Alligator mississippiensis: one gene and its partner. The protein of the gene in region 1 binds, or shares a complex with, the protein of each later gene. Links are inferred from orthologs where the notes say so. Each region holds a gene or a part of one and is shown on either strand. Other genes may lie near its edges. The genes, in order: PER2 and CRY2.

Region 1 (15,424 bases):
TTGGACATGGGATAACAGCAGAAAAGCACATTTGAGTTTCTGAATTAAAGTTGTGCAGTGAACATGCACCCTAAAGATACATGATTGATGTCTCCACAGCTTTAAGTTTCCCTTTGGGACATCACAAACCTGACCAGAACGGCAGTTTCCAACAGCCCTTAAATCCTGGAGTTAACCTTTATTATTAAGGCATCGTTAGTTCCGAGCACCACTTTACATTTTAAGAAGGTGCAGTATTGTGGCTTCAGGAAAAAGATCTCCCATCTACGATAACCTAAGAACTGGTTGCTATCAAAAAGGCTTTATTTGTAATGCTTAGAAAGTAACGTCATGACTTGTTCCAACAGAGGAGCCCTAATGACACTGGAAGCAAGGTAAAATCTCAGAGAAGAACCAAGTCCTCCCAAAACACAATGACAACAGAAGTAACTTTCAAAATTCTGGACACCTGAAAAGATGAAATCTACTACCTGCCTGCTGAACCAAGCTGCTGCTTTGTCAAATACCCTTGATCTCCAAATGCTTGAACTGCCAGGCATCAATCAAGTCCATCTCTAAGAATTTCAAAAATCTGTGGTACTCATGCAGATACAATAATGAAACCCTTTTCCTAGTATCAACTGACAGCACATTCAGGGGCCAGGTTGAAGTTGAGCTGCTAAGCTTCTTCTTGGAAGACAAAAAATTATGGACATTATAGTTTCTGCACCTTCCCTTTGGTTTCAGGGGTTTAATAGCCAGGAAACTACACAGATTATCTGGATTCTGAGGCATGAATGACACTTGTAATATCACCTCCCTTTTGGATGAAAAGCAGATGGGAAGTCTTTGTACTCAATAAAATTGGAGAAGCAAGGTTTTCCAACCAGAATTACCGGTGCTACCTGTATGCAAATTTTTATAACATTTTGATGCGGAAATTAAAGGTCTATAACAAAATATCTTTGGTCATCTTTGCAACAAGGCAAGCCATTTGTTTCCTTGGCTTGTGATCCCATAGGAAAAAAAAAAAAGACTATACGAACTTGCAGTTCAGGTAAGAGATGGACAGATGTATCATTAAGAGACAAAACTCCCTTACCAAGGTATAGTCCTGGCATTACTTCAGTCCAGCTATAGCAGCATAGAGCTCACTCAGCACTGCAAAACCTCCTGGAGAAAAAGTAAACTAGCCCATGGTAAACTCTGTGCTGCCACAACTAGACTACATCGGACTGATCTCAGCTCCCCAATCAGGCAGTTTAATAGCTTGGGTACATCTACAGAACCACAGGACTGGAAAGAAACTCAATGATCATTTAATCCTCTGGATTAGACGCGCACAAAAAGCAGGGCTCTACTGTCAAACTGAGGACATGGCCCTGATGAGATGTTGATACTACTCATAAAAAGGGGGCTACAAGAAACCATGTCCTAACACACACATTTGTTTGGCCTTGGCTCTTCGCAGCAGAGGAATATCTTCAGGCAGGTACTTAATCAGCAGCAAGTCAAAGGAGACTTGAAGTATCCAATTATTTCCCAGTTAGGGCACAAAGAGTAACTATGAGGAGGAGAATCCCAGACAGCCTGGAGACCATCTTTTTCTGTCCCCTGTATTTTTTTCCTACAGCTAGGAAAAAAAAATTGCCTGCCTGAAGCTGAAGAAGAAGACAAGAGAACAGTCTGTTTCCCAGGGAAGCCACACCTTCCCTACCACTGAATGACATATTTGATCTGCAGCCAAGGCTGCACATAGGGCATCTCCAATTTAATAAATCAAGGGACTTCATTATGAACAAAAATGAGTTTGAAATGGATATTGTAATGGCGGTGAAAAAGTTCTGGACCCTTAAACATTAAATCAAACAAAAAAAATGTAACATCATCATATTCTCCCATGTCAAATTTCCTTTGCTACCTTGAATACAGTGTAACAAAAAATAAAACTGTAATACAAAGTCCAGCACAGGTAGACAATTCTCCCTCACACACAGATGAGATCAGATAGTACATCTAATAACACAATTCAGCTTCTAAAATGTTCAAGCTACTTTTCAGAACCAACAGTGCTTCTTGTGTATACTCTGCATGCAGAATCTAAAATTGCAACATGGTAACCCCTGCCCCCCCAAAAAAAACCCAACAACAAAACCCAAAATAACCCTCTATGGATTTACTTCATTGAATCAAAATCTGAAGGACAAGTTTTTTATAACATCTGAATTGTTATGTTACTATGCATTATAATTACTAGGTAACCAGGCAGTTCTGGAAATAGGAACTTTTCTATAGTATAATATTTGGCACAAGCACACAACAGTTTCAAATGATCACGCTGTTCCCTTTTAACATGGGCCTATTAGAACAGCTCTTGAGACAGTAGTGTAAAGGTACTGTGAATTAAACAAATGACTGACCGGAAAAAAGGTGCTTTGTGTTACTGAAAAGCTCTTTTTAGACTTCTAAAAGTGCATTTAAACAAAACAAAATGAAAACATAGAAAGTAACTAGTTTCTTTTAAATACTGTATCAACCTAGACTATGCAATTTAGACTTTCTGGTCATCAGATAAGAAATCAGAGAAAAAGCCAGGTCACATTCAGGATATATCCACACTTATTTACCAGTTTTTAGCTAAGACATTAAACAAATGAAATATAATTCTATTCAGAGGAAATCATCACTATGATGAGATTAAGTTTCTAATCAAAACTCAGACTGTCACTCATTTTAGTAGCACCCAAAACACCCAAATGGGATCTAGCAATAAAACGACCTCTGCTGGGAGACACAAGCCTCTGCTTTCTTATTTACACTTAAGAAATTGGCAGAGTTTTAACAACAACAATTTTGGTCACCTTCACTTGTATAACAGTTTCCGTGAAAAGTTAATTTTAAAGTTTAATTCAAGGGAAGGCAGACATTAATTCCTAGTACTTCTTGCACATGCAGACACAATTTTAATAACATATTTCACTATTATTTTTGAAGAGGTTAACACATTAACTGACAAATAACTTAGTTTATGTTTTAACTCCTGGCTTTTTAAAGACTTGATTTTTATACCCTATTGAGGCCTACACTCAATACTTTCTTAACTCTACTAATAAAGAATCAGGATCCAAGTAAAGCAAGTCTTTGCTGGTATGACTGAACCTGTCACAACAAGTTCTGGTCTGGCAAAGCTCCACATCCAAATTTTAACTTACTTGCATTTCAACACACACTTATGGCCTCACTGTCAAAATTATCATAGTGTCCTTGAGGATTTGTCCTCAACATCCTTTAGAAGCAGACGCAGAGCTATTTATTGCTTTGAGTAATGTCACCTGCAAACATACTCGGTGGTTCAAGACACACTGACAACTGAAATCTAGTCAATTTATAAGTGTAATAAAAACAAACAAACAGCCTAAGATGCCACTCAAGTCCTTTCAACAAGTTCCGTTCTGGAAGCCCTTACAGGTTCCTTCTCTTTCTATTTTATGAGGTCTACATGAAGTAGATGAAGAATAGCAAAAATGAGTTTATTAAATGATCAAACGCACACAGACAATGCCCCCTTCCACACTATTTCAGTAATAATAGCATTGTGTGTTATTTGAAACCACAGTAAACAAAAACAAAGCCTTATTTTTTAAAAAGAAGGACCTTTGTGGTAGAAAGGAGGCAAGAGGTCTTTTTTGTTTATTTAAGTATGAAACACCCTGGTCATTAGATTACTGAGTGAAAAATAATAAATAAAAAAAATGCAACACACTGGTATGCATGGCAGATAAATGCATAATTCACTAAACTGCATTAAACAATGCCAGTCCAACTTTGTTACCTACAGCTTACATCAAATTAATCTGCATATCTGTTAACTATATAAATGGCTTCTGTACACAGAATCCTTCAGTCATTGTCTACTCTGTAACTCCCTGGTTCTCAACAATGGTAGCAGGAGGCTCCTTTTAAAGGTACCAAACAGAATCAGCACTGTATAGTGTGTAAATACCTACACAAGATGGCATCTGCACTATCAACCTCTGGTAGACAGGCTGTGGCTCTAGAGAAGGGTGTGGAAATCAAACGTTGGCCTTATCTATGTTAAGTCTCATCCCCTGGCCAATCCACCCTCTCCTTTCTCAAACCCTCAGATCTGGAGAAAGTACCCTAGTAAAACACTGCTGCACAAGGGAACGGACAAAGACCCATCAGAGATGTGGCCAGATTACGGCTCTACCCCTGACCCCAGGCCCTCACTGTTACTACCTCATGATCCTGCCCTGTGATCCCAGCTCTGCCTCCTGCTTGTCCACAGCCCCATCCCATCTGCCCAGCCATTTGCCCTGCCCGCACAGGTCCCACCCGCAATGGTGAGTGTGGGGTGGACGGGCTGGGGTGCCCAGGTCCAGGTCCAGGGCAGTGACAGCCAGGAAGCATGTCAGGCCACCACACCACCCCAGCCCTGCTGCGCACCTGGGGGCAGCAGTATAGGCCACGTGCACTACAGCTTGGGCTGCCCCCTGCCCCTGGGACAGGCAGGACAGAAGGACCCATTGCAGGCAGAACAAATTCCCTTGGCAGACTAGATATAGTCCATGGGCAGTATTTTTCCCACCCCTGACTTAGACCCTCTGCTTTTCAAGGTACTTCCTATCATAAACAACTGGTGCCTCCTGAGACTGGGGGGGGAGGGGGGGGAAGGGCACCACAGCAGCAAGCAGGGACCACCTGCAGGTGCCAATAGCAGTGTTGGCAGCAAGGGGGGTGGGAGGTGGTAAGCGGGGACCACTCACAGATGCTGGCGAGGGAAGGGGTGACGAGCAGTGACCACACAGAAGCCGAAGGTGGCCAATCTCAGGGGAGGGGCACATGCCCCCCATACCCCCTTTACACGTCACCTATGCTTCCTATGTTGTTTGTACAGTAACTGGAATAATGAGTGGGTCCTCATGGGATGCAGGGGAACACTCATAATACAAATAAGTGATAAAGGCCAAGTCTTCTGTGCACATAGATGTCCCCTCACTTCAAAGTCTCTGGCTTCACAGACAGGAACAACTTTGAAATCTGCTTTGTGTTAACAGGGCAAATTCCCATTCCTCAGACTAGAAGCATAATGTTTTAAGGCCAGGCTTCTGGCTTCACTTAGGTTTACAAAACCACCACTTCGCTCAATGATTCTTGACCAGGCTGCTGTGAGATCCTTTGAAGGGTGTCACACAATATTAGCACTCTTAGGTGTGCAAACACCTCTGTATGAATCAGAAAATAAACCCAGATTTAAAATAGGAATCTGTAACGCCCAAAACAATCCGACCTACTGTAGTCTCAGCTCTTTACAACAGGAGAATCGCTCTACTTTTCCCTCTGCAACCTATAAGTTCATGAAAACCAAGAGGGCTGCCTCAGGAATAATAATAAAAAAAAGTTGAGAACCTCTGCTGTCATGCAGTCACATCCTAACCATTATTGTAAATGCACTCCCTATAAGCACAGTGAATGGAAAACAGCTGTCAAGCAATTCAACCAGTTGAAAGTGAGGGGCTGGTTTCAGGATGGCAAACAGGCCAGCACTGGCAGTGCCCTGGGCTTTTAAGCAGCATTCGTCTCCTGCTCAAGCTCGGGCCAGGCGGTGCATGCAGCAGTGCCGCACGGCGAGGCCCGGACTAACCCGAGTGCCAGGCGGCGCCCGGGGAAGCGCTCACACGCGTGTGACCGCAGAGCTCGGAGTTACGCGTTTTAGAGACAAAAACACACGGGGCAGCCCGAGCCCTCGGGAACTTAACAACGCAAATTTCCTTTGACATCCTGCTAAGCCAGCGTCTCGGCAGAGCTGCTGCCGCCCTCTGCCCGCACCCGGCGGCACCATCTGTCTGAGCCGCTTCCTTCCCCGAGGCGACGGCGGGCGGCAGGACCCACCCGACTGCGCCCGGCGCTCGCACACGCGGACAGGCTGGTTAGAAAGCGCAGCAGCGGGAGCGGCCGCCCGCGGGGGACAGAGCATCTCCAGGCCGGGAAGGACGCGGCCACTCAGCCCCGCCCCCGCGGCCGAGCCCTCCGCAGCCCCGCGCCGCCTCTAGGGCGCGGACCCCCAGCAGCGGCCGCGTGGGCCCTGTCGCACCCCGACCCCGCGCCCCCAGGCAGGCCCCGCTCCGGCCCGGCCCGGCTCCGGGAGCCCCCGCGCGCACTCACCAGCCCTCGCCGCTCGCCACAGATCCCACTTCATACAGTCAGAAACGTGACCGCGGCCACAGAACCCGCCCCCACGTCGCCTATTGGCTCTGCCGACGCCTCATCTGCATGCGGAAGGGGCGGGGCTGGGCCGCCCCCCGCCCCCATTGGCTGCGGGGAGTGTCCTTCATTTTACATAAGCCTCACGTGCGACACCATGTTTCCAGGAGCGGGGTCAGCGCCGGAGCGTCCCCTCCATCGCACCTTCCTTTTCCGCCCGGCCCGGCCCGGCCCGGCCCGGCTCAGCTCAGCTCACCCGCGCGGGGACCTGCTTGCGGAGGTGGGGGGCAGAGCAGAGCGCGGCTGGGGGGCAGGGATTACGTCACGGCCTTGGTGGCCCCGATAGGCCCCCCCCCTGCTGTTACTGACGTCTCGGGCGGCCCCGCCTCTCTGCCCCTCCGTTGCTTGGTGACCCGGGCACTGGCCCGGCGCCGACGCGGTCCCGCGGATGCAGGTGCGGTGCGGTGCGGGGCAGCCGGGCCTGGCCGGGCTCCGGCCCCTCAGGGACATGAGGCAGAGGAGCTCGCTCGCCCGCCCCCGCCCCGCCGCCCGGGGCCAGGCTCCCTCCAGCCCAAGGGCAGCGCGGCGGGTGAAGCAACAGCAGCAGCAACTGCTCCGGAGCTGCGGACACACACTCGTTTGCCGGCAGCAGGAGGGGGCTCCGGGCCCTTGGGCCACGGCCATTGCTCCCGCCGTCACCCGAGTTTGTCGGCAGGGGCTCAAGCAGCTTGCCTGCCAGGCTGGGGTCGGTCAGGTGCAGGATCAAGAGTTTGCGGGAGAAACAGGCAAGCTCGTGACTCTGCCGCACCCTGCCAACTATTCACAGTTAGACTCAGTGAGGTAGACCCTGGGCTGTGCCCCAAAGCTTGTTAAGAACTTTATTCCAGCTACTCCATTGGTTTAATAATATCCTATCTCCTCAACGAACCGTGCCCTACTGGGTCCACACACTGAGACTAGAAGTGCTCCTGTCTGCAAAGTTACAAAATGCAGCCCTCTTGCGGAAGAGCAGGGTTCCCCCTGTAACAGGTCGCCCTCCCCAGGGCCATCTTCTCTGGTAATCCGCACCTTACGTGGGGCACCCTTGGAGTCTTCCTTGAAGTTCTTATGTCCCGCCCTCTTCTCGCCTGCCACGTCTCGATAGAAAATTATGATGATGATGTTCTTGCGAGCGGGAGACTGCCTGTCATACTTTTTTGTATGTTGGGGCCTTTTGTCTACATGGGCCTGACCCTTGTCTTTCTCTAGCTAGGCCTCCCCGTCTAAACCCACCACACAGGGTTTGACTCCAAGGCTCTAGCCTTTTCCAGTGTCTTGTGGCTTGTGACCCCCTTTCCTGCTCCAATCTAGAGGCTGGCCCCACTGTCCCAGAGGCCCAGCCACCAGCCCCACAACCAAGGGGGCACAAGCTCAAGGCCAGGGGACAGCCCCAAACTTGCACTCTCCCAGTCCAACAAAAAAATAAATAAAATTGCACCCTAGGTGCACCAGAACTCCCCAGTCTTTTTAAGATCATGTTTTCAGGTGCCAGGGTCAGTGCACCCTAAAATCCTACACCCCCACTAGCACCGGGGTCTATGTACCCCCAAAAACCACGTCCTCACTGGCACCAGGGTCTCCGCTCCATAGTGGGCCCCAAAAAGGAGGCCTCCTCCTTCCCCTAATAGCCTCGCCCAAACCACTGGTGTTATTTGATAACCAAAAGAAAAATAAACAGTCCCATCCCTGGGCAATATCTGCCACCCACAAATGTGAGTAAGGAAAGCGGTATGTCAGCTTGCATTTGCAGGGTTCGTGTTTCAGCTCCCCACCATCAGCTCCAGTCCTTGCTGCGGTGCGGCTGTCATTTCTCTGGGGCTTCCATAGTTCCCCTCTTCCTGGCTTTGGACTGCCCACCAAGCCTCTTCCTGGAGCTCTGAGATGCTCTCCTTCCCCCTTGGCTGCTGGCCTTCACTGCCACTCTGCCCAGGGTTATAGTCCTGGCCTGCCCCTTCTGGTCAGCTGACTAGCTGGACAGGTTCGGCCTTTAACCCCATTCCTCACCAGTACTCCACACCCAGAAAGTTCAGGCCTTAAAGGAGCAGACCTGTCTTCGGGTGACAGGGCTAGGGTTCCCTGTTACACCCCCCAGTCAGCATGTGGCTCATCTGCTGTTCAGTTTACACCTTGTCAAAATAAATTGTGTCTTAAATACAGATTGTGAAGTGTCCAGCATTCAAGGCTTTGCTCATGTATTACTTCAAGTTACCTGCATTTAAATGGGCTGCTCATTTAATTCCCCTTAGCAGGTAGAACACACCATCCCTTCCATCTCCTTAGCTGTTGCAGATGGAGAACATGAGACTTACAATCACGTAGGAGCCCAACAGAGGTGCTGCCTGCCCTCTTGGTCCCCATCATCTTTGGAGGTTGGCTGGAGTTCAGAGTGGCTCAGAGGATGAATGACATACACAGGGCCTACTCCCACAGATTCATAGAAGTTTAGAGCTGAAAGGCACATTGTGTAAATATTTACATCTGTGAAAAGAGAAGTGAGCAGGTGTCTAAGACTATCACCTGCAAGAGTGGAGCAATCTGGTATGACAGCAGTCTTTACGCTCACTTTCACAGGTGGAATGGCTGCATTAGTTGGGCAGCAACAGAAAAAAAAAATCAACCAGTACTTTCAATCTCTGTCTGTAACATGAGGTTAATACTACTTCCCCACCTCATGAGGGTATTAAAGCTAAATTCATTATTGTGCATTAGGTGCTCTGATATTTCAGTAATAAGTAGGCATTTTCTATGATATAAGTAACATTCTGTAATGGATTTAATTCCAAAGGACAGTGGGAAGCACAATTTCTTCATCTAGGTTTGTGTGGATGCAGAGGTATACCTATGCAGATCTAATTTTTGGTTTGTTCTCAGGTAGATAAGCAAATATTAACTAAAAGTTCCGGAGAGCATGCCTATGTTAACGTGTTGTGGGAACTTTAACTTCTAAATGTCTTGGTCTGTGTGAACTTAAATCCTCAGACTTAAGGTTACTTTAAAGCAGTCAACTTTTTGGGGAAGTAGAGGGATATTTCTTGCATGGAGCAAGCTTGTTAATAATAGCTTTCCAGACATCTAAAAGCATCACTAGATCATACTAATTTTAAAGGGATGCCACTCAATTATTTTGACTTCGGCTATAAACATCTGAGGAATACTGTCCAGTTTTAAACTCCTCCCTTTCCCTTTATGCACTGCCTTTTGTCGCCGAATTATTTAAAAGTAAACTGAAAAAAGTCATTTACTACTTTAAAATATGACATATGAGTCTCCTCTTGCTTTGCTGCAGAGTGTACTAAGTTTGGGGTAGAGTCTCTTCCCACTTTAGTTTTCTAAGGGTTTCAACCACTCATATCAATACAGGAAGTTACTCCTGATACACTGATATATAATAATGATCAATCAGGTCCATTATTTCTATAGCAGCACACATTCCCTGCTGATATCATCACCAATTCTAGTGCACAGGCACAGAAACAACCACATTGGCTCCTTTCTTACTAGAAACACAGTCAAACAAAATGGTTGCTAAATAAAGCAGGACAAAATAGTTTTGTTGTAATGTCTAAAGCCTTGATCTTCCTAACACTTTCACATACATCTTATGTTTTGCAACTCATACAAGTAAAATTAAGAATGTGTGCGAACAGAATCAACATTTTACATTAAAACAAAGTTTTGAAGAACCTTACTAAGTGACAGGCAATTTTATTTCCCACCTTCGTCTACTCTGTTTCAGAGCTAGGGTATTCCTTAAACATTTTAATAAATCTCTAAAAGAACAATACTACATGTGGACACTGTCAGTGAGTCAACATTTCCATGAAAGTCTTAAAAACAAAGTTACATCGCTTTCAGGTTGAAGCCAATTTATAATGTGTCAGATCTCAGTGTCCTTCACAGAGGATCTTTCATCTACAGTGTGACTCTAGCATTTGTTCATCTCAAAGTATTCCATCACACCATGTAACGTTATGAAATCACACGCTGACACCACCCACAAACAGTTTTTCTTTTGTGAGAGTTGGCATAATCCTTTACTATGTCCAACTTTCAGTTCTACTGGAGGCCCCCAAGGTCATGTGAGGCAGACTTCTCTGCCTAAGCAGGACTTCATTGGAGTCAAATGACCTTACTCTGAGAGTAGTAGTCCATATCACTACAATTTACTGCAGGCTCAGGGCCTAAGATCTTATCTATTTTACCATCCTCATGCTATATCCCTTTAACAGCAGAAACAGCATAACTAAAGTTGCATAGCTTTGGCAATATCCAGAAAGCTGTGTAACAACTCTCTCCCTGGCAGTTTTTTTTCAGTGCAGAACCCTTTTTTTGGCATCAAAAAGATTAGATAGTACAACTGGTCTTTTTTCCCCCTTCAAATGCAAATTTTGTATTCTGAAAAACAGCCTGTTTCAGAAACAGACATTATTTGAAAAACCTTTCAACGCTATCAAAACTTTGTCATAAGAAAATCTTGCTTTGTCTATATTTTAACATTGGGGTGCCCAAATTAGTTTATCAGAAAACCCAACTCAGTTTTGTTTTTGATACATGTCAACATATTGTAAATACTGTGAACATTTTAGAACCAGTGGAAATCAGCAGTTTCAAGCACTTTGGAATGAAGTCAAGTTTGAAATGCTTAAGCTTTTTGCAGAATTACTAAGGGCTTTTTTGTATCAGCTCGATTAGCTAGTGAAGACAAATAGGCTTATTTCTTTCAAGTAACTGTCTTCTCATCTATTTTGTTACTTTCAGTACTTTCCATGTAATTAATTTTATGACAGCACTGATTGAAAAGAAACACTGTTCTTGAGCTTGGAATTTTTTAACTGAAAAGATTAAAGAAATCCATATTTTTCCATATTGTTTCCATATTTTTCAGATGGAGTCATCTCATTCTTTATTTTCTAAAGCTGCCTAATTACTTCACCTACTCTCTTCTCACTCCTTTCTCTCAAATTTGTGGTTACTCTCAATATTCATTGACTGCTGATAAGGTTCAGAGATCCAAAACGGCCTTTTTGCTAATGAGCAAAATACATCAAGATTACCAGTCCCATAAAGAGAAATGAAGGGAAGGCTTTCTCCCTATCAGTGAAAGTCTGTCAGGTATTTTGACCCCATATTAGGGTAGAAAAACTATCAAACTAATTAGTCATTCACATTTAGAGATACTTCCTTCATACATTAAGCATACCTGAAGTGCTAAAGAGCTCCAACTCAAGCAGCCGTCTCTTAAGAAGTGCTCCAACACAACCAACTGCTTTTTGAAGATGCAGAACTGGTGTTTGGTTTCTTAGAGGACTCTGGGAAGTGTAGTTTTCCCCTCTCTGTACTCACTGTTTTAAATTCTTAATTTTATTTGTTGACAACTACAGTATGTAAGAAAAAAGAATAAACCAGAAGAAACTTGAACTCTTCTGTTTGAAGAATATTAGAAAGATACATAGAATATTAGAATTATATGGGTGGACCTTACTACTGTAGTAACAGGACCCCAGTTCCTATAATATACAGTACCCCTTCAACTGATCTAGTAGCAGGGTATTGCACCAAAGGCCCTGAGACCTTGCAAACTTAATTGTGCATTGTCAGATCACTTTGTCTGAGCGGCACCATACTGAAAACAATGGACATGATGTAAAGTTATACATGTGCTTAAGGGTTTGGAAAATCAGGGCGAGAGAGCAAAAATTAACTCTTAGGCTCCTGGTCTCTGCAGTAGAATCCACTGCTGAGCAAGACATTTAAACCCCTTATACATTCATGGAGGAAGTCAGGTATCTTAGAATAGACTTCACAACAGACAACATGCTGAGCAGATGCTGACAAAGGTAGCTCATAGAAAATGATGGAAGGGGAAGTAAGTCTTAAATTTAGCCCTTGTTGTAGGGGGGCTTAGACATCTAACTCTGGACTGCAGGCAGGCACATCTGTCAGACTGGGATTGCCAGCCTGAAACTTCCTCCATCCTTTTCAAAAACACAGGAGGGGTTCTCTAGTCCTTTATATGGCAGAGCAGCTGGTGCCACATAGATTCAATGCCCCCCTCACCATGAGGCTGTCCATTCCAAATCTGTCACATTCCAGGGGAGTGCCCTAACCTATCATGGGGCAGGATGGGGAGGGGAAGAACTCTGTATGTTGCCCATTTAAGCACAGCCACCTTGCAAAACAGAATTTACAATGCATTGGATGAGGGAGTGAGAGCATAATTCTGTAGCAGGGGTGGGCAAAATATGGCCTGTGGGCCAGATCTGGCCCACCAACTGATTAGAGGGGGCCTATAGGGGGTGCCCACCAATTGATCCAGCCCGCGGCTGCCCTGTGACACTCCACATGGGGCCAAGACCCCCTCCTTCCTCTCCTCACCTGGCCTACTCCCAGGACCTAGTGCCCAGACAGATCCCCACCCACACATGTGTACACATGTGTGTGCCCAGGCAGCCCCCCACCTGCCCCACAATCCCACCCTGGGATCCCAGCCTCCCCTGCCTGTCTTGCTCCTGAACACTGTTCTCCACCCATGGCCCCATCCCACACAGGGAGTTTTGGTGAGTTGTTGCAGTGGGCGGGAAGTGCCGACCTGGCCTGCGACAATTTGTCAAAACTCCCATTGTGGCCCCTGGGCCCAAATAATTGCCCACCCCTGCTCTATAGACTAGTGATTGGTACACTCATCTGGAACACATAAGGCCTGGGTTCCTGCCTCTGCTCAAAGCACTATTTATGCATTTTCCCCCTCTTACTTTATTGGCTGAATTTTTGAATGAAAGGGGCTAGAGCTGCTGTGTGTGGAGCTCATTGTCAATGTGCCTTAAATGTGCTCTGAGTATACCCAAGATATCAGATTTACCCAAAGAACCTTGTCTGCCTACCAGATTGGGCATCTATGGGGATTTAGCCTGAGGATCCTGACTGGGCATCAGTGTGGAGATAGGTGCCAAGCTACTCAACCATGCTAAAAAGCCAGGGGATCTGAGCAACCTCAGAAGCAACATTTCAGATACCTAGGAAACTTGAATATTGAAAATGTAGGCACTAATATATATATATCAGACATAGGCGGCTAGGAGGGATTTTGAAGATCAGTCTTTGAATAAAGGATCTAAATCCTAATGTTGAAGATCATGTAATTACAAACCCTTATTTATACACACATGTAATTTTACTCACATGAATAGTCACATGGACCTCAATGAGACTATTTGTAAGTAAAAAATTCTGTATGTTCTTCAGCATTTGCAGGATGGGTGTAAGTTCAAACATGGTAATAAGTGAAAGTAGATTTTCATCAGAAGATATAGTTCAATTAAAACTGAAACATTTTGCAGGAATATGGTCACCTCAACAAAATGTTAGATGGGAAAATCAGAAATGTCCTTTGATAACGTAAACGTTAAATTTCCTTTGATAATAAACTTTTTTTTTATTTTGGTGAATTTATAACCTTATGTGATATGCATTTACCATACCATGTAAGTGACAAAAAGTGAATCCACATTATCAAAATAAAACAATTAAACCATGGGTTCTCATTCATTTTGGATTTGAGGCATCCATTGAAAAACGCCTGCTCCTAAGTTTTCAATCTTTTTTGAGTGCAGAAAAATAATAGAGTAATTCTGTTGCAAAAAATGCAGAAAGATCACAACAGATCAGAATGTTTTTAAAACTGGGTTCCTATTTGAAATCTATGGGTTCATCTTGTGAATTGTGTTTGTACGCCTAGCAATGCTAATATTGTGTGGAACCTTGTGACACGGGATTACAGGAAAGCAGGCCTGGAAGAGACCTCACAGTCCAGACCTCTGTTCAAAGCAGGACTGACCCTGACTAAACCATTCCAGGCAAGCGTCTCCAATCTGGTCATGAAAATTTCCAGGGATTGAGATTCCATGGTCTCTCTGCTCCAATGCCTAATCATCCTCATAGTCAGAAAGTTCTTCCTAATCTCCAATCTAAATTTCTTCTGATGCAGTTTGAGGCTTAGTCCTGCTCCTAGTCTTGTGTCCTATGGCCCCAGAGGAAAGTCCACCTCCATCCATGCATAAACCCTGAGATGGTGCAGAGTCACTTGGAGGAACTGGATGCCTTTAAGTCAGCAGGCCCAGATGAGCTCCATCCGAGGGTACTGAAGGCCCTGGCTGACGTCATTGCACAGCCACTGGTGGGAATATTTGAATGCTCGTGGCGCATGGGCCAGGTCCCGGAGGACTGGAAAAAGGCCAATGTGGTCCCCATTTTCAAGAAGGGGAGGAAGGAGGACCCAGGCAACTATAGGCCAGTCAGTCTCACCTCCATCCTAGGCAAAGTCTTTGAAAAAATTATCAAGGCTGAGGGGAAACCAGCACGGGTTCGTAGCAGGTAGATCATGCCTGACTAATCTAGTCTCTTTTTATGACCAGGTCACAAAACGCCTGGACGCAGGAGTAGGGGTTGACATCATATACTTAGACTTCAGGAAGGCCTTCGATATGGTATCCCACACCATACTGGTGAACAAGTTAAGAGGCTGTGACTTGGATGACTACACAGTCCGGTGGGTGGCGAATTGGCTGGAGGGTCACACCCAGAGAGTCATAGTAGATGGGTCGGTATCAACCTGGAAGGGTGTGGGCAGTGGAGTCCCGCAGGGCTCGGTCCTAGGACCGATACTCTTCAATGTCTTCATCAGTGACTTGGACGAGGGAGTGAAGTGTACTCTGTCCAAGTTTGCGGATGACACAAAACTGTGGGGAGCAGTAGACATGCCGGAGGGCAGGGAACAACTACAAGCAGACTTGGACAGGTTGGACAAATGGGCAGAAAACAACAGAATTCAATTCAATGAGGAGAAATGCAAAGTTCTGCACCTAGGGAGGAAAAATGTCCAGCATACCTACTGCCTAGGAAATTACCTGCTTGGTGGAACGGAAGCAGAAAGGGATCTTGGAGTCCTAGTGGACATGAGTCGGCAGTGTGACGAAGCCATCAGAAAAGCTAATGGCACTTTATCGTGCATCAGCAGATGCATGACGAACAGATCCAAGGAAGCGATACTTCCCCTCTATTGGGCTCTGGTCAGACCGCAGTTAGAATACTGCATGCAATTTTGGGCGCCACACTTCAAGAGGGATGTAGATAACCTGGAGAGGGTCCAGAGAAGGGCCACTCGTATGGTTAAGGGCTTGCAGGC
Region 2 (15,482 bases), on another chromosome or scaffold:
CAGAACAGAGCACTGGCCTTTGAACAGCAATGCATGGCAGAAGCAATGAGGAAATGCATGGCCAGGAAAATGAAGACCTCTCATACCCAGTCCTCATCACTTTCCTGCCTCTGCTGTAGCAGATTGTTCAAGGCAAAGATTGGGTTATAAGTCACCTACATACCCATGCAACCTAGCCTCTGCTCCTGTCCTCTCTCTTCCCTCCCTCTCTTTTCTCCTTTTTCCTTTTTTCTCCTTTTCTCTTTTCTCCCTCCCTGTATCTTTCCCATTTCTTTTCTCTCGTTTTCTTCCTCCCCTGCTGGATGAGGTCGTCTTTGCCCACGAAGGACAACACTTGTTTTCTAATTGGGGAAAAATAATAAAGCAATTCTGTTGCAGAGGTCAGAAAGACCATATCAAGGCAGAGCACTTTTGACACTATAGGCTCCTATTTGACACTTCCAGGTTTTATCTTGTGAATGGTGTGTAGGTGCTTGTGCACTTACCGGTGCTAATATTGAGGGCCCTCCCATGGCACTAGTAGCATAACTAGAAGTGGGTGACAGGATCACCCACCCCAGGTGCTAAGTTAGGAGAGCTACCAGAATTGCCCCCACCCCTGCAGAGTCCATGCTCCAACAGCAAGAACAGCCCCATGGCTTACCCCTGCCGGGAACTCCAAAGCAGCCCAGGCTGCTGCTGCTGCTGTTTTAAGATCAACAGCAGAGGCAGGCAGAGCACACAGTGGCGGCAGAAACACTATCCGGGGACTGTCTGAGTGTTCCTGGAATGGGTAGGCTGTGGGGCTGCTCTTGCTGGCAGGACACCCCCCTCCACCACCACATGCCCCCCTCCAACTCTCCCACAGAGTTTGCCTAGGGCTCCAACCCTCCTTATTAGGCCTCTGTGCAACACCCTTCAAAGGATCTCGCCGCACCCCAGAGTGCCACAGCTGACCATCACTGTTCTTCATAAAACTTTGGCTGTCTGCAGACTATAATCATGTAGGAGCTCTCAGAGGTTAGCACATGCGGTGCCCAGTGGGCACTGAAGTGGGGATACCAGGATTCATGCTTATGAAGAGAGCAATAACAGGAAGAGAAGTGAGAGCTGGAGGTTAATAAGTGCCCGGAGGAAGACACTAAGCAGAGCACACTGGCCAGCACCCACTGGCCCTCAAATGAATCCAGGGAGCCAGTAGACACTGCCTGGTGAGACTGCCCATTGACACGTAGACAATGCATAGGGGGAGCATGGGGGGGCACATGCCCCCCTGACAGGTCTACCGCCACCACAGGCAGTGGCGCCTGCGGGAGCTCGCCAGCTCTGGCCCCACCACCAATGCCTCTGGCAGTGCCTGCAGGTGCCCCCCAGACCCGGGAGGCACCAGTTGCCCGTGCAGAGACATGACCAGATGCGGGACAGGCCTGTTTGTTACACTCTGGGGATCCAGGGCTTAGGCCACCAAGCACAACGTCTCTCCTGGAAAGGGAGGCCCTGGGAAACCTCGCAACCGATTCCTCGGGACAACGAGAGTCGTAACAGAGAAGACAAAGGGTCAGAAGTTAGTAACCAGCGCTCCAAGGCAGGCGACACCCAGCACAGCACACGGGCCGGCATCCCCCGGCCCTCGACCGGCACCACGGAGCCAGCAGGCGCTGCCCGATGAGACTCGAGGCGGGAAGACGCCCCAGCATCCAGGCGTCAGCAAGATGCGTTGACCTCCTCTGGGGTCCGAGCCGGGCCGGCCTCCCCTTGGCTGGGCGAGGGCCGGGAGGAGGGGGGCCAGGGGCAGCGCTGACCGCAGGGCGCCCACAGAAAGGTCACCCACGAGAGCGGGCCCGGCCCGGCCCGGCCCGGCGCGGCGGACCCCGGGCATAAATGGGCCGGCGGCGGGCGGGGCCGCAGCAGGAAGCTGTGCTGTTCCGGGAGGCGGCGGCGGCGGCGGCGGCAGCAGCAGCAGCAGCAGGAGCAGCAGCAGCAGCAGCAGCAGGGACAGGTAAGCGGGGCTGTGGGGGGATCAGGCCGCGGCCCTTTTAAGCCGTGCCCCAGCAGGCTGCGGGGCGCGGGAGGGGGAGGAGGGGCTGGCGGGGTCGGGCTGCGGGCTGACGGCTGGACCATGAACAGGGCGCAGCTGAAGCGCGCGGGCATCCTGCGCATGGCGCTGAGCGGCGCCGCCGACCCGCTGCTGCCGGCCGAGGAGGATGGCAGCAGCCGCCGGGAGCCGCCCTTCGCGCTCCGCGCCGCGCGCATCGCGCTGGTGGTCTGCCTCTACTGGGCCATCTCCATCACCATGGTGTTCCTCAACAAGTACCTGCTGGACAGCCCCACGCTGCGCCTGGACGCGCCGCTCTTCGTCACCTTCTCCCAGTGCGCCGTCACCACCCTGCTGTGCAAGGGGTTCAGCCTGCTGGCTGTCTGCGGCCCCCCGGGCACGCTGGACTTCCCCTCGCTGCGCCTGGACCTCAAGGTGTCACGCAGCGTGCTGCCCCTGTCCCTCGTCTTCATCGGCATGATCACCTTCAACAACCTGTGCCTCAAGCACGTCGGTGTGGCCTTCTACAACGTGGGCCGCTCGCTCACCACCGTCTTCAACGTCCTGCTCTCCTACCTGCTCCTCAAGCAGACCACCTCCCTCTACGCCCTGCTGACCTGCGGGGTCATCATAGGTGAGTAGGGCCCAGTGGTTAGGGGGCCTGTGGTTGAGGGGTTGAGCGAGTCTCCCTCCATGTCCGTTCTGCAGAGCAATACCCAGCGCATGTTATGTAGAGCTCTGTAAAGCTGCATCACTTTATACAGCTCTGCCTGCCCCCATGAGCTCTCCCTGCCCCATGAGACAGGATGATCCTTTTCACGTTTCTGCAAAGGGAGGTGTCCGTGAGCCAGATTTGTCCGAAGTCGGACAGTTCATTGGTGACAGAGCTGACCTAAGCTGACCTCAGGACGTGGAGCCCCAAGTGCCTGACATCTAGTGCCATGTGCTCACAGCCTGCAACTCAGTTGTCTTGCCTAGCATAGGGGGATGAATGGGATTGTCATTCTAGCCACCAAAATACCCCTGGCCCTCACCACCGCATTATCCAAGTGCCTCATTCATTATTAAATATATTCCCCATGGGACAGAAAATACCACATCTCCATTTTATAGATGGGAAACTAAGGCATGAAGACTGGTGATGGAGCAGGAAATTGAATCCAGATGCACTGGCTTAAACGCAAGACTATTTTTCCTTTTTGTTCTTTCCATCTGTATAAAAAACTCTTATGTTACTGTAACTTCTGGCCTTTCTTCCTTGCTCTGTCACAGACACACAGCCTAACCTTGGGCAAGTTGCTGCACATCTCTGCCATGTGTGGATAGGATTCATCTTTCATAAACTGTAGAACTGCACTGGCTGCCTTGCCCAACTAGTCTTCACCGAATTTAAGTGCTAAATAATTGCAACCTACTCTTGTGACTGAAGATGAATCTGTTAATATTTTTACACGCACTTCCTCATCCTCCTATTTTAAATTGTTATATGAGTGCTTTTTTCCACTCCTGTTCTGTTACTAATTTGGGCAGCACTAAAAAACTTTGGCTAGTACCATATGGAGTAAGGACCCAGCCAGTATGAGTTTCCTGTATAGGAGAAAGTGTAAGATAAACAGAGTAGGAATAGATGTCAAATGATTGTAGTGATGTAAGGAATTTAAAGGAAGGCTGTGGAACTGGCTGACTGGGACATACTGGGGAGCTGAGTGCAGACCTCTAGGCCCTAAGCACAGATAAGAAGGTCATTGCCATTTGAGGACAAATAGGAGGCCTGAGGTAAGTTAGTTGGTCTCAGGTATTCACTTAATCTCTACAGAGGCAGGCCAAGTGTTGTGCGAGACTTCTTCTATCCCTGGTGGTTGAGATGATGGAGCAGACCTATCTGTCTCAGAAAGATGTTTAGCCATTTTGACATTTGAATAATGGGAACAGCCAGCTCCAGCTGATTCCAGGTTTGGGTGGCGGACAGTGCTATAGGATGTACCTTTTGCCAAGTGTAGTTTACTTGATGGATTACTCTGAGCCTTTTCCCTTGGGTTTTACTCTTGCCACGTGGATCCTGCCCTAGCACATAGCAAGACAGGTTGCTTCCCGGTCCTTCTGCCATCCATATGCAAAATGTTTACGTACATTGAACCAAACTTGTATGGTTAGTTGGGGGTGTGAGATAAAGTACATGTGCTTTGAACTATTCTCTTACGCCACCATTCTGCAGTAGGGAAAAGGTGCAGGTATGTGTGCTCACACAGGTAGTCATCCAAAGTCATTGCACAATTCTTTGCCCGCCCTACGTAGCTATTTGCTTGCTTTCATACACGTGCACGTGAGCCAAGACACAAGTGCATCTTGTAATGTAGACATGCCCTGGAATGCATATCAAAGCAAAAGGAGCCTCACCTTTCTGTTTCTGTTCAACCTCAAGCCCAGTCCAGTATGAAAGAACTAGACTCCCCCTCCTGTCTTCAGATATGGAGACTTTAAAAATGTAAATGTGCTACAAGCAAGTAGTTGCAGGTTCTTTCATCCTTTACTTCCTTATCAAAGCTGGAGTTCAAGCTTTCATTTTTTCCTCAGCAGCTGATGACCTCTTACACATTCCTTTCCTTCCTGCCTATGTGGGGAATTGTCAGTCAGTGTTGCTAAGGTGAAATGAAGCCCATAGCTCAGGTCCCAAGAGAAACACAAAGGACATAGTTACTTTCCAGGTAACTGGATGCAAAGAAGGCTTCACACTCAGCTTCTGCTTTAGAATCTTTGGACTTTTGCTCAAAGGTCTTAGTTTTTGTGACATGCATACACTCTGCCCCGACCACTTTCTCCCTGTTAAAAAATGCAGCAGAGGCTGTATGGGTCATGGAGTCTGAATTTCTCTCCAGGGCAGGTACTAGTGAGGTTTACTGTACCACTGAATCTAATGTTATGTCTATATTTAACTTTTTTTTTTTTTTTTTTTTTTTTTCAAAGATGCCTTGAAAGGACAAACTAGGGTACTTATCTCTTTTCCTCCTTGTATTTATGCTGGAGAAAGGAAGCCTAGCAAGCTCCTTGGAGCACATGTCGTCTTTAGTTTTGTGGGCTTTTTGGTTGGGGTTTTTTGTCACTTTTGGCAGCCTGAGAAACTTGGTCCCTTTCTAGCCTGAACCTGGAGAATGGTGAGATATCAATATCCCTAGAACAAAGATAGTGAAAGTTGAGCAACTGAGCTGGTTTCTTTTCTGTTTCTTTTCAAGCCGAACTATAACTTTGGGTAATACCTCTCTTATTACAGTGATGGATTAAACACTTGGAAAGCTATACATCTCAAACAAAATCAGACAGAACGCTTCTGACTCCTCTTCTTAGGGTTCAAACACGATGAGGGGTACCACTCTGACACTGCCTTTGTGCTCTGGGTTGCTTTTTGTCTTCATAAGATGGGCAATCCACAAACATTGTTTGTTTATTTTCATTTTTTATATAATCCTTTGTCAGTTGGTTTATAAATGCGATTTTTGTATGTAGCATTTTGGTCTTTTTGTCACTTTCTGGTCCCCCTGTCAGTATGTCACCAATTTTGTCTGCTTTGCAGGTGGCTTCTGGCTGGGTATAGACCAGGAAGGAGCAGAAGGCACCTTGTCATGGACCGGCATAGCCTTTGGGATCCTGGCAAGTCTTTGCGTTTCCCTCAATGCCATCTATACCAAGAAAGTTCTGCCTGCTGTGGATAGCAGCATCTGGCGTCTGACCTTCTACAACAATGTGAATGCGTGTGTCCTATTCTTGCCCCTTATGTTGTTGTTTGGTGAGTTTCATACCCTCTACCACTTTGATAAGCTGGGAGACCCCAGCTTCTGGGGTATGATGACCCTCGGTGGAGTGTTTGGTTTTGCCATCGGGTATGTGACGGGACTCCAGATAAAGTTCACCAGCCCACTCACCCATAATGTCTCTGGAACAGCTAAAGCCTGTGCCCAGACAGTTTTGGCTGTTGCCTACTATGAGGAGACCAAAAGCTTCCTGTGGTGGACAAGCAACATGATGGTTCTGGGGGGATCCTTTGCATATACATGGGTAAAAGGGCTGGAGATGAGGAAGGTACAGGAAGAATTGTCTCCAAAACCAGGTGAGAAAAGTGAGACCGGTGTCTAGCACCTCTGCTGCTGTGTCTGTGGAATGGAGCTTTGCTGGAAAAGGAGCCAAGAGCAGAAACTTCCAGGGCAGAAAATCACGAACTTATAAAATGCATGAGGCGTTTGTCTCAGGAGTTAAAGCCAAAGGCCTACCATATATAATGGTTTCTGCAACGAGGGATGGAAGGATGCTATTTCCAGAGGAGTTCATCCTGTTTCTTGAACTGGAAAGGGGGTGTAGGAGACAAAGGGCTTCTCTGTGTTGGTGCCTTTTTTAAACAGCTGTTACCATTGGTAACTTACCAATTGTGCACCATATGGAAACCCTTACTGTGAGGAAGGGGGAAACAGCATTTTTGCTGTGTAGCTGGGAATAGATATTGGCAGCCAACTACATGGTCTTGAATACAATGATATCCTGCACCTAAATATAAGGGAGGGGAACATAGCAGTCTGGGCAGCCTGGCTTCTACACAAATGTTCCCCCTATTATAAATGGAAATAGCTGTTCTTCCCATTCCGGTCCTTTTACAAGTCACAGGTGGAAAATCCCTTCACTACAAGTTCTGAGTGAATCTAGCAGAAGGACACACCTCTGAATTTCTTGTCTAAACAGCCAGTAACTCTTCTGGTTGAGATTTCTCAATATAGTTTGCTACCTCTTTTCTGCATCCACAGGATATGTGTGTCCCAAGAAATCATTACAAAGGAGGGACCAAATCTTAGTCTCCTTTCTTGAGACTGGCAGCTTTCCTTGTGTAGGTGGGAAGGATGCTGGCTTTTTTCACATGAGGTTACTGGATATTTGCGACTCTGTCTTTTGGAGTAACTAGGTCTCTGTCCTTGTGGGTTTCTGAAGTATTTTCCTTTCTGTGGTGAGGATCCAAAAATAGCCAGTTGGGGAAAATCAGACTTTTATAATTTTCTCTTCCAATACAGGAAATAAATAATGCTTTCATTAATTAGGCCAGTTTCAGGCTGGATTATTGCTTGCCTGCTATGGCTGCCTTCCTGGGGACCTTTCCTAGAAGATTCACTACAGAACTGATGCTTAGGCATGGAAAATGCCATAATTCCAGTTCAGTGACAGCACGTGGGGATAAAAGGTAAATGTTTTACCAAGAAATCCCAGGCCCTATCAGAAGGGTGAACAGAGCTGGTGCAGAACTTTATACTCTAGCAGTCTCTGCAGTGTCAGACTTGTGCAGGAACCTTTCCCTCTCCTGTCCCATCAAGTGCCATCTGAGGCTGTATTATACAGTCACTTTTCTCTCCTCATTCCTCCAGGTGTTGACCTTCATTCCCTACTGTTCTAGCTTTATCTAAACCCTGAGTCCTCTCACATCCAAAGATTATTTTAAGTGGGGTGTGCTGGGAGCTGGTATAACCTATTCTCAGTATCCTCTGAGTGATCTTAAATAGCACCAGATTGCTGCTATGAAAGCAATCTGACTTTTTTTTTTTACCTTTGTCCTTGCTAGCTAGGTTTTTCCTAAATTTCAGGAAACCAAGGTCACTGGAATTCTAAATTCAATTTGCCTTGTTAATGATGGTCTCCCTCCCCGTTTTTATTTCCTTTGGTAAAGGGTGGAATTTTTCCCATGGTTTGAGTTTTCTACTGGGATAGATTTTAGAGTTGCAAACATTGACCTGTGATTGTAAAACATATTAAATAAAATTATGGATTGGTATCTTGAGGGTGGTTTCTTCTACAGTGTTGTCAAAGGTTCAAGGGAACAGTGGGCACAGCAGTGCTCCTAGTGCAAAGGAGATTGCAAATTCTACTTCAGTTCAACAACAAATCAACCCAGATGATGGTGATATAAAACATTTTTAAAATGGTGCCCACGTGAGGGGAGAACATTGACTTTCCAAGCCCATTTCTAAAATGATTCAGTTAATGGTACCGTTTGTGGGTTTTCACAGGGTCTGGCTGAGAAGTGAAGGAGGCATTAGTCCTGTATTACATAATGGATAAATACTGATTCTGCCTGGATTTCAGTCAACATATTCTCCAATAGGATGCCGCCAATAGGGGAGGAATGTGAAGAACAGGTTCTAGTGAGTTTAATTTTCCAAGGAAAGTGTGATTGTAGTCTGTGTCCTGTAAAACAAGACCTGCTCTTGTTCACCCCTTGTGGTGCTGCTTCAGGGTATGGCTGTGGGTGCCCCTTTTCCCACTTTGTTGACAGGCAGTCACTTTGCTAAGGACTTCATCTGTTGGTAGGTGATATAGTCCTATATCAGTGGTGCACAAACTTTTGGCCAGCAGGCCAGATGAGCAGTGTGGAACTGGTCCATAACCAGATCAGCCCCCATGCAGCCTGTATGCCAGGATTGAGCCCTGGGGCACCATACTGCCCCTGCAACCAGGACAAGGCTCTAGGGCCCTGCATCACCCCCACCTGCCAGAATCAGGCCCAGTGCCATGCCTGCTTGTCCCCATGTGCCAGGATTGGGCCCTATATTACCCCTAACTAGCTGGGATTGGGCCCTGGAGTCCCCACCCCACACAGTGGGATCAGGTCCCATGCTGCCCTGCTCCCCTGATACAGCATGCAGGGCTATGCTATCTAGCCCACAGGGCTCCTAATGGATCCAGAAATTGACAGCAAGGAGCAGTGTCACCATTCTCCTGCTGCCAAATTTTCAGAACTGGAGAGCCCTGCAGGACAGATGACATGACCGGGGGGGGGCTGAATCTGGCCTGCGGGCCTGGGTTTGAGCACCACTGTCCTACACCAATAGAATCTGGAAGCCCAGGTGTGGCCCATGTGGGATGTCACCCCTCCCCATCACTCCCATGTGCATGCACAGTAAGGCTGCTGCAGTGTCCTGTGGAGCCAACTGGATGGAGAGAAACATGCTAGTGGCTTACAATCTCAGGCTGCCCCAGCAGAGGGGCTGTTGTGGAGAAATACCCTGTCCCCTTTAGGGATGAGAATCTCCACGGCCAATTTCTTCCCCTTCGTGCCCTCCATGCCACCCTGCTGAACACCTCCCACCTGCAATGGCAGGGGCTGGCTGCCTCTTGCTGGAGGAGATACAGCCCTGACCACACCAGTTCCCCTGGGAATAGGGAGGTGAGCTGAGGACAGGATGTCTCAGCCAGGTTTGCCCCTCTGGCTTCAGCTGGGGCTGTGTCCAACGGCAGCGGCCTCCCGAGGCTCACACCAGCCATTGCTAATAAAGGAGGCAGGGAATGGAGGGAAAATTAGACACACATTTATTATGAGGGGGAGGCAAGTCTGTGAGGGGAGATCTTGGACCCAGTGTATGTTATTAGCAGTAGCAATCATCATCATCATTATTGATATTATTATTAATACTGCTGTTATGTATTTATTATTACCTGCTATTCATTAGTGTTGTTGTTATGGACCTAGGGTCACCATCACAGAGGACATTCCAGTTTTCTGCTACTCTGTCCTCTATTGATATGAAACCCAATGCCTTTATGTAGAAAAATAGGGGACAAAAAGGCGTCGGGTTTCGTATGGACAGAGGACAACCGGCCTGTCCTTTTTGATGGCCACCCCATAAGAGCCCTTTGTCAGGCCTGGCCTGTCACGTAGGACCGGGGAGAGAGAGACACCACTACTGAGCGGGCCCACCTTTAAGGAGCGAGGCCGCTTTAAGGAGCTGGGGAGGGGGCGGAGCGGTTGCTGATTGGCAGCAGCGCCGCCCGATGAGGCCCAGGAAGCCTGTTTCCCTCCGCTACCTCCGCCCCTCCCACTGTACAGCTTCGTCAGCGCGCGCACCACCCCCACCCCTCCGCAAGCCCCGCCCCACGCACGCGGCAGGAATGTGCCACGTTAGTCCCGCCCCGCCCCGCGCCACGCTCGGCAGCCAATGAGCGGGCGGGGCGGGGCGGGGCAGGGCCTGGCGCCGGCGCGGTGGCCTGGCGGGCTGGGCAGACGGCAGCAGGCTGTAGCCATGGCGGCGTCGCGCTCGTTTCCGTCCTCGGTCCCGGCCCGTGCCGGCCCGTGCCGCGCCGTGCACTGGTTCCGCCGTGGGCTGCGGATGCACGACAACCCCGCGTTGCAGGCGGCGCTGCGGGACGCCGCTTCCGTGCGCTGTATCTACATCCTGGACCCCTGGTTTGCCGCCTCCTCCGCCGTGGGCATCAACCGCTGGCGGTGAGCGGCCGTTGGCGGTTGGCCGGGGGGGGGGGGTCTCGCGTCGACCTGTCTGCGGGCCGGCAGTGGCGCGGGACTACCGGCGCCAGCAGCGCATGCGCGCACTCCCGCCCACGCCGCCGCTCTCGGCGCGGGGGGGGGGGGGGGGTCGTGTCCTGACGGCGGGGGCGTACTCTGTCCTGACTGCTCGTGTCCTGACGGCGGGGGTGCACGCTGTCCCCAGCTGAGACCGGGCTTAGCAGCGCGACCCCGGTGCGCAGGTCGTGCACGTGCCTTTTATCGCAGCCTGGTTGTTGGGGGTGGGGTTGGCCCCCCGGGAGGTGAGAGAGGAGAGCCCCGCCTCTGGCAGGCAGCTGCTGAGCTTGTAGCGTGTGGCGCAGATCCCTTCTCGCAGGCCAGTGCCTCGCCCGCTCTGCGCACTGCGCCACAGGCCCCTTGCGGCGCGTGGAAGGTTTTGTTTGGATGTTAGAAACTGCTTTCTCATGAGGAGGGTGGTGAAGCACTGGGACAGGTTACCCAGAGAGGCGGTGGGATCTTCGTCCTTGGGGGCTTTTAAGACCCGGTTGGACAGTACCTTGGGAGGGATGATCTATTTGGAGATGGTCCTGCTTCGAGCAGGGGCTGGGCCAGATAACTTACTGAGGGCCCTTCCGGGTGAGGGCTCTCCAGAGCAGGAGTTTCCACCCCTGCTGGATTCATAACAAATGCTGCCCCCAGTTGATTGAGCTGGAAATGAGTACGGGATCATTTGGGCAGGAAGGGCCTTATGTGTTATCGGTGACAGCAGCTGGGTTGCCTTAATCACACACGGCTACTGCAGCGGTCTCTGACAGACCTTTGATCTTTTTGTGACCTTAAAGGAAACTAAGCTGTTAGCCACTTGCTGTCTTTTGATTAGTCAGGAGATTGCCTTTAGGAATAGAACCGGGTAAGTTGTCTGTCTCTTATTTCACTGAAATGAAATGTTGATATTGTGCCCAGTACTGAACAACATAAACTGGAGACCAGCCATCTCCTAAAAAGCGTTGGGGTCTGAAAGGCCTGAACAAAGTGGGATGGGCTGGAAAGCCTGGCAGAGGGAGTAAATGTCTGGCATAGCTTTTGGAAGTCATTGCTATGTAATGCCAGCACTGCACCTCTTTTAATTAGTAGCTCCTTGTTCCACTGGGCTAGAAGCGCTGCAGTCCAGAGCTGGCTTTGACCCAGCATATGGGATCATAGGTGTTTGCAGTGGGGAAAGCCCTGTTAAATCACATCTACTTAATCATGAGGGGCCAGTACAGGATGTTCTAAACCCTAATCTGAGAGATGTCTTGGCTGCCCTCAGACATCGTTTGGCTATGTTAAAAGGCAGCAGGAATAGGACAGGCTTTGACCTGGATAAGCAAAGTCCTACAATATTGCCCAACTCAGTAGGGTGTGGTGTAAATATATCCTTCCTGAGTTAGTTTGTATTTCCATTGGGAGTGATACTTTTTAACATACAGTTTAAGGATATGTTGCTGTGGGTAATTTCTTTTCCTTCCCCAAATCTCCCTGAGTGTTGGAACTTCTGAAGTGTCTTGATTTGTTTGTATGGAATTGGCTTCCCAGACGCTCCAAAACTGTCTGTTCAGTAAGAACCTTGCATTCGACCTCTGAGCTCCCTGGATCCTCAGTCCTTGGATTTTTACTTGGCTCCGTTCAAAATTAATCCCATTCTGCACACCAGCCCAAGTGTAGCCTTTCACATCTCATTTCTGACATGTGGGAAGCTACCTTGGACTCTAGGTAATGTTATCGGATTTTCTTAATCTGGTAGAGTATGGGATAGGTGTAGCTAGTATATGGTTACTTTGGAAAACATTTCTTCTCCAGCTGCTTTGCGTAAGTTCTTGCAGCCTCAAGAGTGGCATGCCAGCACTGAACAACACCCTGCCTTTGCCCTAGGGCTGTTGTGTGCGTATACATGTATGCACTCTTGCTTCTTCCCGCCCCCAAGATTCTTATGGAAATATATTTTGACTGCTTCTGGGAGGATAGGGGTGGAGGTGGAAAGAGCTCTGTTTGCTTTCATTCCCCAGCTGCAGTAGTGATGGAATGTAGTGGATCTGTAAAGCCTTGCTGAGAGCAGGAATCTGCATCCCAGTGGGCAGCTCTGGTTGTATTATCTGAGCATTACGTAATGCTGATGCACCACAGTCATGGCTGCCAGCAGAGTGGAACGGCCAGTGCAGGTAGGGATTCTCCTTCACAAGGCTGCTGTATCCTCAGGCAGGGCTTCCTCTCCAAGGCAAGGGCAGGCATAACCTGATTTCTGTTTTCCCACCCTGCCCATGGATCAGTTGCAGGTTTCAGTAACACCTTCAGGTACATAAAAAATCATGTATATGAGTGTGCAGGAGATTGTTGAATGGGTTTATTGTAATTGCCATCAGTTACCCATGCTGTACATCATCACTTAGTCCTTTAAGGGAGACAACTACCACTAAGTACTGACTTCTGAAAATTAATTTTAAAAATATTTTATATCACAACTCTAAGTTTACACATGTGCTAGAATCACAAGACATGCAGAAATTCAGCTGCTCACAGTTTTGTGTAGAATCTGTTCTTTAACAGTCCTGGAGATTGAAGTTATCTATTAAAAAATAGGTGCAGTATTAATAGCAGAAGGGCAATCTTACTCTTTTACACATGTTGCTGTACTAGGAACTCACTTCTGGGGTAGAGGGACCACAGCTTCATTTGTCCCTCTGCTCTAGGAGGGACCACAGCTTTGTTGGTTAATCTCTGACCTAGTCATTCCTTGGTTTTCCCATTGACACAAGAGGGAGCAACTGTGTTAATTTTATTGTCTGCATTGCAGTTGTGCCAAGAAGAACCCCTCTGGTTCCTGTAGAGATCATCAGAATGTATGCACCCTCACTGTCATTGAAATCAATAGAAGTTAGGTGCCTGAGTGATTTAGATGGTTATTTGTTAGGAGTTGAACAAACTGCTGTGACCCATTTCACATGGGCCAATGAGCAGTCTCAATAGGATTATTGTTTCTAGCTGAGACAGTTTGCCAGCCAGACTCCTTTAACTAGTTATGAGAAAACACTTTGAGACAGATAGGAATTTTTAGGAGTCCACAGTTCTCCCTACAGTTACAGCTCCACAGTTAGCATCTGAAATAAATGCAGTAGACTGTTCAGTAGAAAGGTGCTATGTAAATACATGCTTATTAATCGGAGCTCAGCTTTTTTCTGTGTAGGAATGCTAGCTTGTATTTTGCTCAGTTTTCTGCTACTTGCTTTTACTGACTCTTTGTATTACGACTTGGGTATAGTGACCTGGTTTCCAAAGGCAATGTATTAATCCATGTTTTACCTTTCTCCCTGAAACTGGGAACTATTTATTTTGCCAGTATGTGTGCTATGCTGTCAGCAGTAGCATTTGTGTTAATCATCAGAATGTCCTGGTGAGGTAGGGAGTCAGTATTTCCATTTTATAGGAGGGGGGAGTAAGCTGCTCAGAGTAGCACAGCAAGAAAACAGCAGAACTGGTAGTGGACCCCAAGACCTCCCATCCTTGAGGCCACTGCCACTTCTTTCCTCACAAGAAATGCATAGACAGGTTCCCTGCCCAATTTAAAGTATGGGCTCAATGGACAAACAAGTATTTCACTGACACTAAGCGGAAAAGGGGAGGGATAAGGAAGCTCCTGGTCTGAGACAGAATTGTAGGTTAGCTTTGCTGCTGCTTGTAACTAGCCCCAACCTAAATTAATTGAGGTTTCTTAAAATGCAGACTCATGTTTTGTGGATAAGACTGCAGAAGTGGGCTTTCGGGTATAATTTGACTGAAAGTGAGGAGAGGTTTAGCTTAAGGAAGGGGTTCCAAGTTGACAGGAGGCTCCACAGTCGCCTTATAGAGGTGAAAGTTTTGTTAAAGCTGGAATCATTGGCAGCATTAAACAAAGCAAAAATAAGCCAGGTCGTTAATGTAGACTGGAGTTTGGTTTGTAAGGCCTTGAAAGGAAGCAGAAGCAGCTTGAACTTCATACAAAGCACAATGAGAAGCAGAGAAATATGCGAAGCAGGCCGATGTCTCAGTGCTTAATGAGAGACGACTTTGGCACCAGTCTTTTTTTCTTTTTTTTTTTTTTTGGAGGGGAAGGGGCAGTTTTCTAGTGGGAGAGAAAGCCAAGTTAGTATCACATGAAATGAGAGACTGTGTAGATAAAAAATTTGGTTGTCAGTGTCACAGTGGAATACAAATCATATCATTTTTGCAAACATGCACTGTACTGATAGTGTTTCCCTTAGAAAGTTTGCACACTTCAGAGACCTTTCGCCACCTCCTAACAGGGAGGAATATTTCTGTCTACTTTTCCACTATAATATAGCATGTACCTATCAAGAACCATAAAAATGGGCATTTTTGGTGGCAAGAATTCTTATGAGTGATATCTTTTATTGGACCAACTGCGTAGGCAAGCTTTTAGGTATCACATTGCCCTTCTGCAGGCCATTCTTGGAGAAATTCATGACTTTCCAGAAATATTCCCTTAAAACTAGGGATGGGGGAGTGAGAATTTATCCATTTCATATTTAAAATCTCTCAGTGCTCCAGGATTATCATCTGTGGTAAATTCCACCAGCTGGTCTGCTCTGTAAACTCCTGTACATAGACAGTGCCACATCTATGGAGCTCCAGCTTGAAGGAGGCAGTAACTGCCAGATGGTTGCTCTTGCATTGTCAGTAGTCATTTGAAGTTGAAGGGATTGCAAGAGTGTGAAGGTGCTGAAAAAGTTTATTTGTCTATGCAGTGATAGGGAATTAACTGGCATTCTGGTGTCCTTGTTCTGTCTATTTGATGTTGGGATGAGTTAAACTCTAGGTAGTCATACTTCCTGGCTTAACCTTTAGCCTGGAAGGAGTTATTGCTTATAATGTTGCTGGAGTTGGGGGAGAACCTGCCATGCATATCTGTAGTCTTATGAACTGTCATCAGTCTGTCTTGTTTCTCCTCCACAGGTTTCTACTCCAGTCCCTGGAAGACTTGGACAACAGTTTAAGAAAACTCAATTCTCGCTTGTTTGTGGTACGGGGTCAACCAACAGATGTCTTTCCAAGACTCTTTAAAGTAAGTCTAAATATGCCATCTGTACCTTGGTCAGTAAGTCCTATTGTATTTCACTTCTTCTAGTCGCTGATGGTCCAGTCAGATCTAGAAGGTCTGTGTTCAAGAGA

Evidence for each region.
Region 2: the proteins of PER2 (region 1) and CRY2 are in contact, whole or in part, in a crystal structure (PDB 4U8H), measured with the Mus musculus proteins. The link is inferred for Alligator mississippiensis from reciprocal best matches to the Homo sapiens genes PER2 and CRY2. Residues at the interface, in NP_035196.2 of Mus musculus: Tyr1132, Leu1134, Gln1135, Asp1136, Pro1137, Trp1139, Leu1140, Met1142, Ala1143, Asn1144, Thr1145, Ile1149, Met1150, Met1151, Thr1152, Tyr1153, Gln1154, Leu1155, Arg1158, Asp1159, Leu1160, Val1163, Leu1164, Asp1167, Gln1168, Lys1170, Leu1171, Leu1174, Gln1175, Ser1177; in NP_034093.1 of Mus musculus: Trp58, Ser63, Ser64, Val65, Lys163, Leu166, Thr167, Lys169, Arg170, Glu215, Leu216, Gly217, Phe218, Asn330, Pro331, Ile332, Cys333, Ile334, Gln335, Ile336, Pro337, Asp339, Asn341, Pro342, Glu343, Leu345, Ala346, Lys347, Ala349, Glu350.

Annotation. Positions count from the first base shown.
Region 1 is NC_081830.1:44,725,060-44,740,483, forward strand, and holds the start of PER2 (period circadian protein homolog 2), read right to left. Parts: upstream 6,239-15,424; 5' UTR 6,166-6,238; intron 1-6,165. UniProt on the Homo sapiens protein: Transcriptional repressor which forms a core component of the circadian clock.
Region 2 is NC_081825.1:226,428,852-226,444,333, forward strand, and holds the start of CRY2 (cryptochrome-2), read left to right. Parts: upstream 1-10,024; 5' UTR 10,025-10,059; coding exon 10,060-10,262; intron 10,263-15,266; coding exon 15,267-15,375; intron 15,376-15,482. Other genes in the region: SLC35C1 (GDP-fucose transporter 1), read left to right, coding at 2,099-2,648, 5,583-6,142. UniProt on the Homo sapiens protein: Transcriptional repressor which forms a core component of the circadian clock.